3 separate regions of the Mus musculus genome follow, and all the other regions are reported to be linked to region 3. Evidence: microRNA targets listed by miRTarBase, many of them from high-throughput screens and not tested one by one. Region 3 holds a microRNA gene; each other region holds the end of a gene's coding sequence.
The links. Region 3 holds the annotated microRNA mmu-miR-5135 (AGGUCUAGGUGGCAAGGGCGUCCU, at 2,475-2,498, shown strand). A microRNA usually pairs through its seed, bases 2 to 8, with sites in the 3' UTR of a target mRNA and lowers its output. Matches are read on the target gene's strand: a 7mer-m8 pairs with bases 2 to 8, a 7mer-A1 pairs with bases 2 to 7 and ends in A, and an 8mer does both.

Region 1: the mRNA of Trim36 is a reported target of mmu-miR-5135. Seed matches in the 3' UTR shown: 7mer-A1 at 3,033-3,039 and 7mer-A1 at 2,292-2,298.
Region 2: miRTarBase lists Zfp37 as a target of mmu-miR-5135. Seed matches in the 3' UTR shown: 7mer-A1 at 1,312-1,318.

What each region holds. Positions count from the first base shown.
Region 1 is chr18:46,163,627-46,167,871 of GRCm38, forward strand. Trim36 (tripartite motif-containing 36) reads right to left here. Exons shown (of 10, transcript NM_001170855.1): 10 at 1,674-4,141. The coding sequence ends at 3,787. Among named protein-coding and RNA genes, the nearest start is that of Gm52355, 23 kb to the left of the region's middle.
Region 2 is chr4:62,187,282-62,191,526 of GRCm38, reverse strand. It overlaps Zfp37 (zinc finger protein 37), which reads left to right. Exons shown (of 4, transcript NM_001290351.1): 4 at 1-1,990. The coding sequence ends at 363. Among named protein-coding and RNA genes, the nearest start is that of Zfp37, 19 kb to the left of the region's middle.
Region 3 is chr12:76,531,396-76,535,640 of GRCm38, reverse strand. Mir5135 (microRNA 5135) reads left to right here and starts at 2,429; the gene lies at 2,429-2,507. Plekhg3 (pleckstrin homology domain containing, family G (with RhoGef domain) member 3) reads right to left here and starts at 2,081. Exons shown (of 19, transcript NM_153804.4): 1 at 1,823-2,081.

The sequences.
Region 1 (4,245 bases), not on the chromosome of region 3:
GGGTGGTGCCATCCCTAGGATGGTAGTCTTGGGTTCTATAAGAAAACAAGCTGAGCAAGCCAGGGGAAGCAAGCCGGTAAGGAACATCCCTCCATGGCCTCTGCATCAGTCCTGTTTCCTGACCTGCTTGAGTTCCAGTCCTGACTTCCTTTGGCGATGAACAGCAATGTGGAAGAGTAAGCCAAATAAACCCTTTCCTCCCCATCTTGTTTCTTGGTCATGATGTTTGTGCAGGAATAGAAACCCTAACTAAGACACTAGAGTTGGTTATTTGCAAAATATATCGACAATTGACTAAAAGATTTGCTGGGTGGGATTAATCACTTCAAATGCTTATCTGCTGAGTACCCATTCCAGGCTTTATGCTAACAGCTTTCTGTGCACCCTATTTTAACTCTGGTAGCGATTTAAGAGAAGTGTATCAGTTGCCCATTTCAAAGGACAGGAGATTGAGAGATCAAAATCAGCTTTCAACAAGCTCTTCAAGTTATCTGTGTTCACTGGGAAGCAAGCGTCATGAGCTATCAGCCAATCTGGTCATGGTCAGGTTTACTACCTAAGTTCTTACATTTACTCCACAGGAGCTGCTTTTCAGTGTTATGTAATAACAAAAAAATCGACCAGAACCCTACTATCCTGCTTTCCCGGAAAACAGGTCAGGCTTTTTAATTAACAAACTGAAGTAACCTCAGATTATTAATACAACCCTCCAATGGGGAGTGGATGAGCAAGTCATTATGAAAAAAAAAAAACAAACCCTCAGTCCTGTTGTCTGAAAACCAGCTAAAGATTGAGTCAAAAGGCAGACAGGCAAATCCAGGGTTGTGCAAGGTGTGGTTTATTAAAATCGTATGGAGAGTTTAGTACGTCTTAAGTGGTGGCAAGTGCGTCTCTACACTCCAAGGTAGGAGGAAGGAATTTATGGAAAATAAGACAAAGATGAGTGGAATCCAGCCTTAATGTACTTGGCCTTTAAAAATAAAAAAAGTTAACAGTTAAGAAACCATCTAGAGTCAGCTAAGAGCTAAGGTGCTTGCTGCCAGTCTGGAGATCTGAGTTTAAAAATCCAGGTTAGATACTGTGAAAGAAAAGAACTGACTCTCCATAGCTTGTTCTCTGATACACACACACACACACACACACACACACACACACACACACACACACCTGCACGTAAGCACACAGGCAAACCTGGTAAAATGTAATCAACTGTGGACCAGAAATGACAATATAAGCAGACAATTGAAATAGATCAGCTGCATCATACTAGAATTAAATAAATGTTCAAAATAATAAACTAACATATGAGGTTAAGAGTACTGTGGACTGGAGAGATGGCTCAGCAGTTAAGAGCACTGACTGCTCTTCTGAAGGTCCTGAGTTCAAATCCCAGCAACCACATGGTGGCTCACAACCACCTGTAATAAGATCTGACTCCCTCTTCTGGAGTGTCTGAAGACAGCTACAGTGTACTTACATGTAATAAATCAATAAATCTTTAAAAAAATAAATAAAAATAAGAGTGAGTACTGCTGGTCCAGGAGTCTCCAGTTCCTTTCCACGAGTGCTGGGTAGATCACAATCACCTCTAACTCTGGCGCCAGGGCATCCGCTACTTCTGGCCTCCATGGGCGCTCACATCCATGTGTACATGCACATTCGCATACATGTAATTAAGAATAAATCTTTTTTAATTAAAAAAATTAACATGTGCCACAAAGCATCTTATAGTAAGTGTTCTGTTTCGGTTTTCCACAAAGCAGAGTAAAAAATCCCTGTAGTGCAGACTTGAATAACTACACTTGGCTTCCCTTTATTTATTTATTTTTTATTAAAAATTGAAATTCCACTAAGCAATTTCTATAGAGTGATACAGTGTTTGAACAGCTTCCTTCTCTGACTCCTGTTAAAGCTTTATATTTTAAAACGTCTACAGGACATGTGCTCACATGAGTATTGAGTATCACACTAACCCACACACGGGTGACACTAGCAGCTTTATTGCACAATGACCCAGGTAACACTGCACATTCTCTCTGTTTCCTATGTCATAAAGTGCTACATATAAATGGGAGAGGAAGGACAATCACTAAACACAAATCCTCCACACCTTTCTACACGAGCTTAGGGGTGTGTGTGTGTGTCAGTCAGTGCTGCGTCAGACGCAGTGTGATTGGCCTAACAGGCTTCCATTAAAAATAATCAAATAGAGCCGGGCAGTGGTGGCACACACCTTTAATCCCAGCACTTGGGAGGCAGAGGCAGGCAGATTTCTGAGTTCAAGGCCAGCCTGGTCTACAGAGTGAGTTCCAGGACAGCCAGGACTACACAGAGAAACCCTGCCTCGAAAAAATAAATAAAATAAACAGCTTTGGTTATTCTACTAAAATGTTAACATTCCATACATGATCAGTGCTGAAAACATGTCTTAGTGTCTGGACATTTTAACTTTTAAAAAGGCAATTCAAATAATCAGAAGGTAATTTTGCAGAAATTAACATTCAATGTAGAAAAGATATAAAAACTGACTAGACACATCCTTGTGATTTTCCATATTATTTCCTAGGAATTTTGTACTTTACTGATTCACACTACAAGTGCTTATGACCACACAATGAGCCCACAAATAATGCCATCCAACTGGACAGTAGTAACATGTAACATGTCTGGTATTTCAATGCTGCTGAAAATGGGCAGTGAACTTCTCAGATTTGTAAACAAAAACCATAAAACCCTGATGTACAACATAAGTACCAAACCCATAAAATTCACAAGACACAAAGAGACACGTGTTCACTATCAGTCCATCTTCCCTAGTAATTCTGAAAAATAATTCTTTGCTATAAATATGAATATTTTCTAAAGTAAGAAAATTTGAAGATAACATTTCCTGGAAATAATTATATTGTAGTGAAAAGTTGCACGGGTTCAAGAACCCTGTGTTTTTATATGAAACGATGCTTGTTACATGTGCCAGACAATGGGCATTACAACAAGGACACTGTTAGAGATGTCCTTACTAATACAGTCTGTGGTCTACAGGGAAAAAAGCAGTATTCATTTGCCAGGCGATGAATATTCTCAGTAGTTACACACTTTAAAATACACAACTTTCTACTTAAATATACTACCATTTTATGGCCTTTGTCATTTTACCTATCTATAAATTTATTTTTCTATTAACATCAAATGCAAGACACATGGCTTAGTACTAGTTTCTATCAGTAAGCATTCAAAAATATCTTCTCTTTGGACATGAACATGATACAAAATGAAAAGGAAAAAAAAAAAAACAAGCTCAAAGAACCACAATAAATACTTTGTATCCCACCCCAGCCCCCAAACAAAGGGACATGAATAACCAATTAGACTTACATCAATTAGAGTCCCTGTGGCCAAAGAGAAGGACTTCCATTGTAAAGTTATCTATTCTAGACCAGTTAAGACAGAAAGCCTCCACTCCCACCATTTGTAATAGGTAGGACAATGACGTGGAAGAGACAAGGTTGTGAAGTCCTTCTGAGTTTTAAGAACCATACACTAGCTGGGGATGGTGGTGCCCACCTATAATCCTAGCCCTCCAGAGGCTATAACAGAACAGAGTTTGAGGCCCGCCTGGACTACACAGCAAGACCCTGTGTGTCACAGCAGGACAAGACAAAACAAAGAATCACACAGTACAAACAGGTGTGGTGACAGAGACGTAAATGATATGTAATTAGATTAACATCAAGGCATGGCTTTGTTCACGGTTCTTATCCTCATCAGTCACGTGGGGTGTCCAAGCTACACATCCTCTTCATATTCCAGATACTTTGCTGTGATGGCTTCCTCAAGCTGAATTCCTCCGCTGCCCATCAAGGCAAAGGCCGGATACATTGTATGCGAACAGTCCACCTGGCGCTCATACAGGCATTTCATGTGGTCCATATCATAGAAGCTCACTTTGCCTTTATCACAGTCAAGGAAAATCCCTATACTCGTTGGCATGGGGAGAACTCTGTTTTCTGGTTCATTAGAGGAAGTAGGTGACTTGGGTATAAAAAATTTCTTCATGCCTATAGTAACTAATGTAAAGGGCTGTGAAGAATCAAAACAGGCGTCCTCGCTTCCACTGTCATGTCCACTGTCTTGCTCATATCTACAACACAACAATAAACACAGTGACTCACCTCCAGCCACAGTCTCGCAGGGTCTTCAACATACTCAAAAAATAATGCACACTGCTCTAAAGTTAACACACAC
Region 2 (4,245 bases), not on the chromosome of region 3:
GGTGACTGCCCCTTTGAATGTAATCAATGTGGTAAGGCCTTTAAACAGATTGAAGGCCTTACCCAACACCAGAGAGTTCACACAGGGGAGAAACCCTATGAGTGTGTTGAATGTGGGAAAGCCTTTAGTCAGAAGTCACACCTCATCGTACACCAGAGAACTCATACAGGGGAGAAACCCTTTGAATGTTATGAGTGTGGAAAAGCCTTCAATGCAAAATCACAACTTGTTATTCATCAGAGATCCCACACTGGAGAGAAACCCTATGAATGTATTGAATGTGGTAAAGCCTTCAAGCAAAATGCCTCTCTTACCAAACATATGAAAATTCACTCAGAAGAACAATCTGAGGAAGAAGATTAATGTAGGAAACCTGACAACTGACTGGTTTGGTATTATTTAACCTTAAAGATGTTCTCAATTTGATGATGTTAGAATATCTTTTTTTAGGAAATCATTCCTGGTGATACATGAGAGAATTTGAATATGGATCTTTACATAAGATGGTAATAAAATTTAACCTTGATCCCAAACCTAAACAGAAAATACTGTATTTTTACACTTATTATAAATTGTCTCCATATTTAGATTAAAATACGAATCTTTTAAAAGAGTGAATAAGGAGATATCATAATCAGTAAAGTGCTTGTTAAGCAAGTACAGAGATCTGAATTCCATCCCTAAGGATTGATAAAAAGCTAGATGTGGGGGCATGCTCTTGCAATCTCACAATTGGGAAAGTTGAGACAGGAGAGTCCTGAGAACTCCTGACCAACCAGACTTATTTAATTTGCAAGCCATAGGTCACAAGAAAAAAGAACTGTTTTAAAAATAGGGTAGAGGGTTCCTGAGAAACAGTACTCAAGGTTGACACATGTACACACACAGACACACACAGACACACAGACACACACACAGACACACACACAGACACACACAGATACACACACACACACACACAGACACACACACACAGACACACACACAGTTGTGAAAATGTTAACGAATTAGAGCAACAAACAGTAAAATATGACACTTCATGAACTTTCTAGGTGTGTGCTTAAGCTCCACAGTTAGTATTTAATTTGTATTTATTCTTATTGCATACTTACCGCCTTGTGTAAAATACAAGTGAGGGTGAGGGTATCCTCTGGTATTGTCTAGCTTTCTTTGTTAATGTCTCTGTTAGCTTCTGAATTAGTAGAAAACTTTCGGGAGTTGTTTTGTTTTGTTTGAGACAATATCTCACCATATAGTCCTGGCTAGCCTGGAACTTGTTACGTGTACCAGGCTGGCCTTGAACTTGTTATGTAGACCAGGCTGACCTTGAACTCACAGAGATATGTCTGTCTCTGCCTCCCAAGTGCTAGATTTAAAGACTTCAGTAGAAAACTTTAAGGGGTTTTGTCTAGATTTTGTTAAGAGGTTCATAAAAAAGTGGAAAACAGCTGAAAATGTGTTGATAGTGAGTGATACTTGTTATATTGTTAAGTATAGAAAATGGATTGTTAAACCATCTATATAGTATGTTCTCATTGTGGACAGAGTGTGTATGTGTGTCCCTGTACTCTGTGTACATATATATGTGTTTATCCCCATATATTTGTATATGAATAGACTTTTTTTTAACCTATAAGAAAATTAATGGTGGCTTCCACTGAACACAAGAGTGCAGCATTGAGGTCTGACATGTTTATCATGTACATGTGTCTAATTCAAATATGTATTATATAAAAATACATTCATATGTGCAAATTAACACAATTTAAAACAATAGCTGAGTCTATTTCACAGTGTTATTTGAAAAAGTGACATAAGATTTCTATGCTCCTTTATGAACAATGAATTTAAGACATATGGCATTGAACCTTGATATTGAATTCACAAAGAATTTCCTATAGAGCACAGATTTTTGTTAACATGAGTCATAACTGTTAACAATATTTTATTTCTCTTATTTGCTATTAAAAACTAAAGATGAATGAAAGTGAAAGTGGTATTTTATTTTATATTCAGAATGCTAATTCACAAATGTCTTAGTCAAGAATTTCGGCTGTATTTCAACAAATGCCTCCACACCCCATTCTTGCCCAGTAGCAGATATTGTTGCTGGATCCCTTGCTCAGCTTCTCACAGAGTCTGCTTCAGAATGCTTGTTGGGAAAGCATTCCAGAAGGTAGTGTACATCAGTTTGACTTTTTCCAAGAGACCTGTCTGCCATTGCAAACTGTGTTAGCTAGGTTCTATTGCTGATAAGACACCATGACTAAAATCAACTTGGAGATGAGGAAGGGTTTATTTCATCTTGTAGCTTAGAGTTCATCCTCCAGGGAGGGCAAGGCAGGAACTGAAGGCAGGAACTTAGAGGTAAGAGGTTGTAAAGGAGTACTGCTTACTGGATTGCTTCTCAGAGCATGTTCAGCCTCCTTTATCATTAGGACTATCAGCCCAGGGTGGCAACTCCAATGGTGAGTGGGGTAGCACTTTTAAGTTGTTCTAATTGTTTTACATTGTTTTCTTTTATGTCAGTGATCTGTGTCTTAGTTGGGGTTTCATTGTTTTGAAGACATACCATGATCAAGCTAGCTCTTATAAAGGAAAGCAGTTCATTGGGGCTTGTTGTGAATGGGCCTGGTCCTGTTTGTATGTTAATTCTGCTTTCCTGGGAGGGGTTGTGGACAAGAAGTGAGTCATTCTCAAATGACTTCTTGTGGACCAATCTCCTAATGAATAAAGGAGCCAATCACTGGGCAGGTAGGCAGGACTTCTAGGTTGGAAGAGGGGAAGCAGGAGAGAGTTACAGCCCTTTTGGAATGGGAATAGCATATGGGTATGATGTAGCTGCTAGAGTTTTCTGGTACCATGGCAGATCTGCAAGGTTTGGACACTAGGGGAATCAGATTTTAATAAGGCTTACAAGATTAGGTTTTAGTTGTTGCATCCAGAGATTGAGTTACCATTGTTTATGAAATTACTTTGTGTTTTCCTTCACATGGCGGCTTGTCTGGATTCAAGAGAGAAAAAGGTACAGTGGCAAAGGATGGGTTTGCCAGATGTGCACTATAAACGCCATGGGAGATTTGAAGCAAGGGGTTGAGGTGGTAATGATGTATGTCAGCAGGTACCTAGCAAGCTGTCTCTTCTGTCTCCGACCAGCAGAAAAGAGCGACGACACAGCGTTCTTCTCAAAGTAGTTTATTCAGGAACCTTTCAACATGCAAGCAGGAATCTCTCACTAGCCCCCAATCGCAATCCCCTATATAACCTCTCAACCACGCCCCATCAGCCCAGCCCGAGTAATCTCAGTTCATTGGCCTTTGTTAAATGGCCTGATCTTGCATCATAGTGTGCCTGCACAGCTCTCAAGATGGATGTGGCTTATTTTCGGGTGTATGAGGAAGTCAGGTGCAAGTCATAAGACTTGGATGCAGTCCTGGGTGCCATCTTGGGACTACCATCACACCCACTCCCCACAGCAAGCTGGGTGGAAAGACTGTGGAGTTCTGAGTCAGAATCTTCATGAGATAAAAACAGGTCAGCCATTGCCTGCCAGTGCATGTCCAGCCAGACCTCTGGTACAGAAACACAAGTGTGGGAATGTACGGGATCTATTTTTTTTTTCTTTTTTAATATTTTCCACAACAGGAGCTGGCTTACAGTTTTAGAGGTTTAGTCCATTATCATCATGGTAGGAAACAAGGCAGTGTGCAGGCAGACATGGTACTGGAAATGTTGAGAGTTCTATCTCTTGATCCAAAGGCAGCCAGGAAGAGACTGTCTTCTTCAGGCATCCAGGAGGGGACTCCCATCCACACTGGGGTGGAACTTGAGCATAGGACCTCAAAACCCACTCCTACGGTGATGATTTTTCCCAACATGGTCAAACATCCTAATAGTGTCACTTCCCATGGGCAAATCATATTCAAACCATCACAATCTACAATCCACTCTTCTCTGAAAAAAAGTTCAAAACAAAAAAACCACACCTGGGCTGGGTGTGGGGAACGATGCCAGACAATGCCAGCCTGGACAAAATGGCTGGCCAAGGAGACCTAAAGCAATTTTCACTAAGTTCAGCTGCTTAAAGGGTTTTCTTTGTCACCTACTCATATTTAACCAAAATCTGAGCACAGCTTAGTGGTCATAATGTTTTATTGATACTAATAAAGTCATTGCAGGCAGTGCTTTTCTTCTGATGAACTGTGAATGGTTTAGGACTCATAGGGGTGTCTGTGTGACAAATTC
Region 3 (4,245 bases):
ACCAGCACCTTCCTCCCTTCCCTCCGGGTCTGGCCATCGCTCAGGCCGTGGCCTTTGGCCTGTTCTAAGCATAAACACGGTGACCCTGAGATAGCAGCGGGTTTGGTAAAGTCAATATTTACTCTGGGACTATGATATTACAAGCCAGAGAGAGTGTAAACTGCCACAATTGGCTCCTGGTGTCCACCATCTCCTGTGTCACACATGGGGTATAACCAGCAAACATGTAAGGGCTCCTTGTAGCCACTACACAGCTATTTTTTTTTTTTGATAGGAGTTTATGGACTACTTCTCATACACCCTTCTCCCCTTTATTGTTACCACATCCCCTATAAAGAAAAAAGGCTGCTCTGTATGGAAACTGAGTCAGAAAAGATAAGTGAGTGAGGAGAGGGTGAGATCTGGCTTCAGGCCAATCATGTAAGAAAAAAAGCCTCAGACCCGATCAGTCTCTGATGTGACGCAATACAGCCAGCATTAAACCTCTAGCAAAAATCCTGTCGGACTCTCAGCCCAGTGGTCTTCCCACTCTCCTAGTCGGGCCACCTCTGATAAAAAGTCAATAGAAAAGCCCCAAGGCCACTCTAAAACAGACTACCACCCTTATCAGCCCAGACTAAGTGAAGGGGTGAAAGCGGATTTCCAGCACCAGCGGGAAAGTCCAGAGAGTGCGGCCAGCAGAGGCAAGCAGGCATTTAGTAGTCTGTCTACATGAGAGATGGGGTCTGTGAGCCATCCAGTGAGCCCAGAACCATAAGGAATAACAGCAGCGCCACAGTTGGCTTTCTGGTATTTAGTCCCTAGGTTTTATGCTGAGCATCTATAACACAAGATTCCAGTTTAGCAGAGGGACTGGGGAAGGCCAGGCACAGCAGGGAACATCGCCTCTCCCTCTCAGGCTGTCATTTTACTCCACACTAATTATTTCTGAAGGGTTCATTGTGACTGGAATGCACTCTTGAACAAGCACAGTTTGGAAGACTGGGAACCCTAAGACTAGGGTTCTCTGTAAGGTGCTCTAGTACTGATCGGTTGCTGGGAGGGTTAACAATCTTAACAGCCCTTAATCTACCAAGAGTTTAGCGACTCTAGACGATATACTCTCACCCAACTTTTAGCACCACCTCGCAGCGCCGCTTTCTCCACCCTCCAACCATCATGCGGCTTGTTCCGGTTTTTTTTTCCCCCCTTTGTTTTCAAAAGTAGCCGCAGAATAAATCGTTACCACCAAAGGAGCATCTTGAACGACTGAAGCTTGAAGCTTCCCAAATCAAAGGTCTGAGAGAAGGGTGTGAATAACCAAACCAGTTGAAGGGAGTGAAGGAGAGGCTGTTAGGGGCAGCATCAAGGGGCTCTAGATTTGCAGCTCCTGGACACTTGGCTTCTGACACCCACTCTAATCCTCCTGGACATGCAGCTGAGATTCCCAGAAGCACGGTGTGGCACCAACCCAGAACAGACTGAGTGCCTGCGCACTCCTGGGCTGGCGGGACCAGAGGCGAGTCCTTCTAGAAGAGCCCACAGTCTCAGGCAAGCACTAGCCCACGGGCGTCAGGGCACACAAGGAAGGGGTGGCGGGAATGTCGAGAGCTGCCCGGATTTCAAACTCTGCAAAGCCTATGCTGCTTTGGTTTCCGGGGTGGGGATAAAAAGTGACTCCCCTTACGACCTTCCCGCGACCCAACCTCCTCCGAGTGTGTCCGAGGCAGCTCGGGGCCAGGTCCTCATCCCACAGAGGGCTAGCCTGGGGTCTCCGCAGAGCGCTGCCACTCAGCCAATCGAGCATGGGCAAAGAGAGAAAGGCAAACCTAGGGACACTCACCAAGCGGTGGCCGCCCCGCCGGCTCGCGACGCGCCAGGCGCGCGGGGCTGCCCAGGTGGCGCCGCGAAGCGGGCTCGAGTTTGAAAGTCGCTCTCGGAAGCGGCAGAGGCCGCCGGCCGCTCCCGCCCACGGCTGGCCGCCCCGCGGTCCCAGCCTCTGCTCGCTGCGAGCACCAGACGCCGGGGGACCCCCGAAATGCGCACGGTTCCCCAGCACCGGGCAGGAAGTTGCGGCCGGAGTCCAGGCTGCGGCGGGAGGGAGGGAGGGAGAGAGAGAGGGAGAGGGAGGGAGCCAGGGAGGGGCGGACCAGGAATGTTTCCAGTGGGTGGAGACTGCGCTCGCGGCTGCGATCCAGCAATTGGCGGCTCTGGGGGGCCCGGGGGAACCTTCGCGGCGGTGCGAGCGAGCTGTGGCTCCCGCTGTAGACAGCGGCCGCCGTGGCTAATGATTAACGCGCGTGGCCCGCCGTGTGGGTCCCGCTGGCCGCCTCCCCTTGCCACCTGGAACTCTGGGATCCCAAGGCGCACGTGGTGGGGTTACTCTAGTGCCACCGCCCTGATATCACGCCGAGAGGGCAACGAAAGCCTCCAGACCAGGTTCCGACCAGAGAGGACTCGGAGCCCAGCCACCTAGACTTTCCCAGGAGAAGCGCAGGTCTAGGTGGCAAGGGCGTCCTGGTCCTACTGGAGCAGGTCACCACGACCGCTGAGTCAGAAAGGCACGTCTCGAATTCCTCGCCGAAACTAGGTTTCGGTGGCTCTTTACAGTTGTAAAATCTTACCTTCTGAGGAGAAAGAGATAAGAAGCGCATAACTTGGGGCGGGGCGGGGCGCGGCGCTCAGTGGGACTGTTAATGAGAAAAACTGATCGAGGAACCTGAATGTCAGTGGACCCCATTTTGAGTGCGATCTATCAACAAAAGGCATGTACCGGGAAATTAGGGGATGGGAAAATTGGGGGATGATTAGCACAAGCACATAGAATACAAACCAGTTAGATTTTGAGCAAGAACATAAATCTTTTGTGTGGTTTTTGTTTTTGAAGCAGGATTTCAATTATCTGAGACTGGCAGAGGGTAATCTTGAGAGTAATGGTTCTCCACCCTCTATCTCCGGAGTGCTGGGATTACTGGTGTGCACCACCACGCCCTAATTATTGTTTTTATTTTATTTTTTGATTTGAAACAGGCCCACACTTTGTAGCCCAAGCTAGCCCAGAACTCTTGAGTGATCCCCCAGAGTGCTAGAATTATAGGTGTGCGCTACTACACCTCACTAAGAATAAATCTTTCATTGGTAAAGATCTTAGGGGAGGTAGCATTAGATGCTGTCCCCAGTACGCACCATGAAGAGGGGTAGGAGATGGGAGCCCAGTGTGAGATCACAGAAGAAGTAGGACTCCTGCGTTAAACGATGGCACCAGGTTCTTGGAACAGGAATGGAGAATCGACCCCAGTAACTCAGCATTTAGACCGCCAAGTGTAGACAAGTGAAAATCCTAAATAGCTTATAAAATCCCCTCCTCCACCACTGCCCTCAAAAAAAAAAAAAAAAAAAGCTGCCCCAGGGAAAAGCAAGCACCTAGTGATTTACGGGGAGGGGCGGGGCAGAGAGAGAGGAAATGGCTTTCAGGTGACTTTGAAACGGGATCCCTGGGAAGAGTAAAGATTAAAGTAGTCCTTGCTCCTGACTGCGGGAGGGCCAGAAAGTAAGGCTCACGTTACTTAGTCCACAGGTTAGGCTTGAAGAGCGGCAGACTAGAGGACAGCACTGGTGAGAAACAAGATTACCCGGGAACGGGGGAGAGAGATAAAACTACGGGGTGGGATGGGAAAGGGAGAAGCCCCACTCCTTCCCACCTCGAACTTTCTGGGTTTCTGGTTTCTTCTCTAATCTGTTAAATCTTACCAGTCCTTTCCTACTAATCTTAAACTCCCAACTTCCAAAGACGTCCCCCAGCCCCAATCCAGAGATTTAAAACTTTTGAATGTATGACTGGCTCCTTAGCTAGAAAAGAAAAATAAAATGTTGATGATAGTAATGGTTAGGGAATGGTGCTACCAAGTGCACTGCACTTTATAATCACTAAGGCAGGAATACACTTACTCCCATTTTGCAGGAAGAATACTGAGGCTCTAAGGATGGAGCAGTCTGGCCAAGATCAATTGCATCAAGGGGCGTAGTCTGAGGGGGCGACACTGGAGTGCTTACTGTGTTAACCTTTGAGCATTTTACAAGAACAATTGCGGTTACAGGAGAAACTGAGGCTTGGTCATACTGCTAGTGGGTGGTAGAGCTGGGAGTTTCTACCCACAGGGAAAACTGCATTTAGCCAGCCAGCTCTTTCTCCACTTCCTTCTAGACACTTGTTAGTCCATTCTGAACTTGATTCTAAAGCCTCGAGTTGTTTCTAATTGCTTTAAT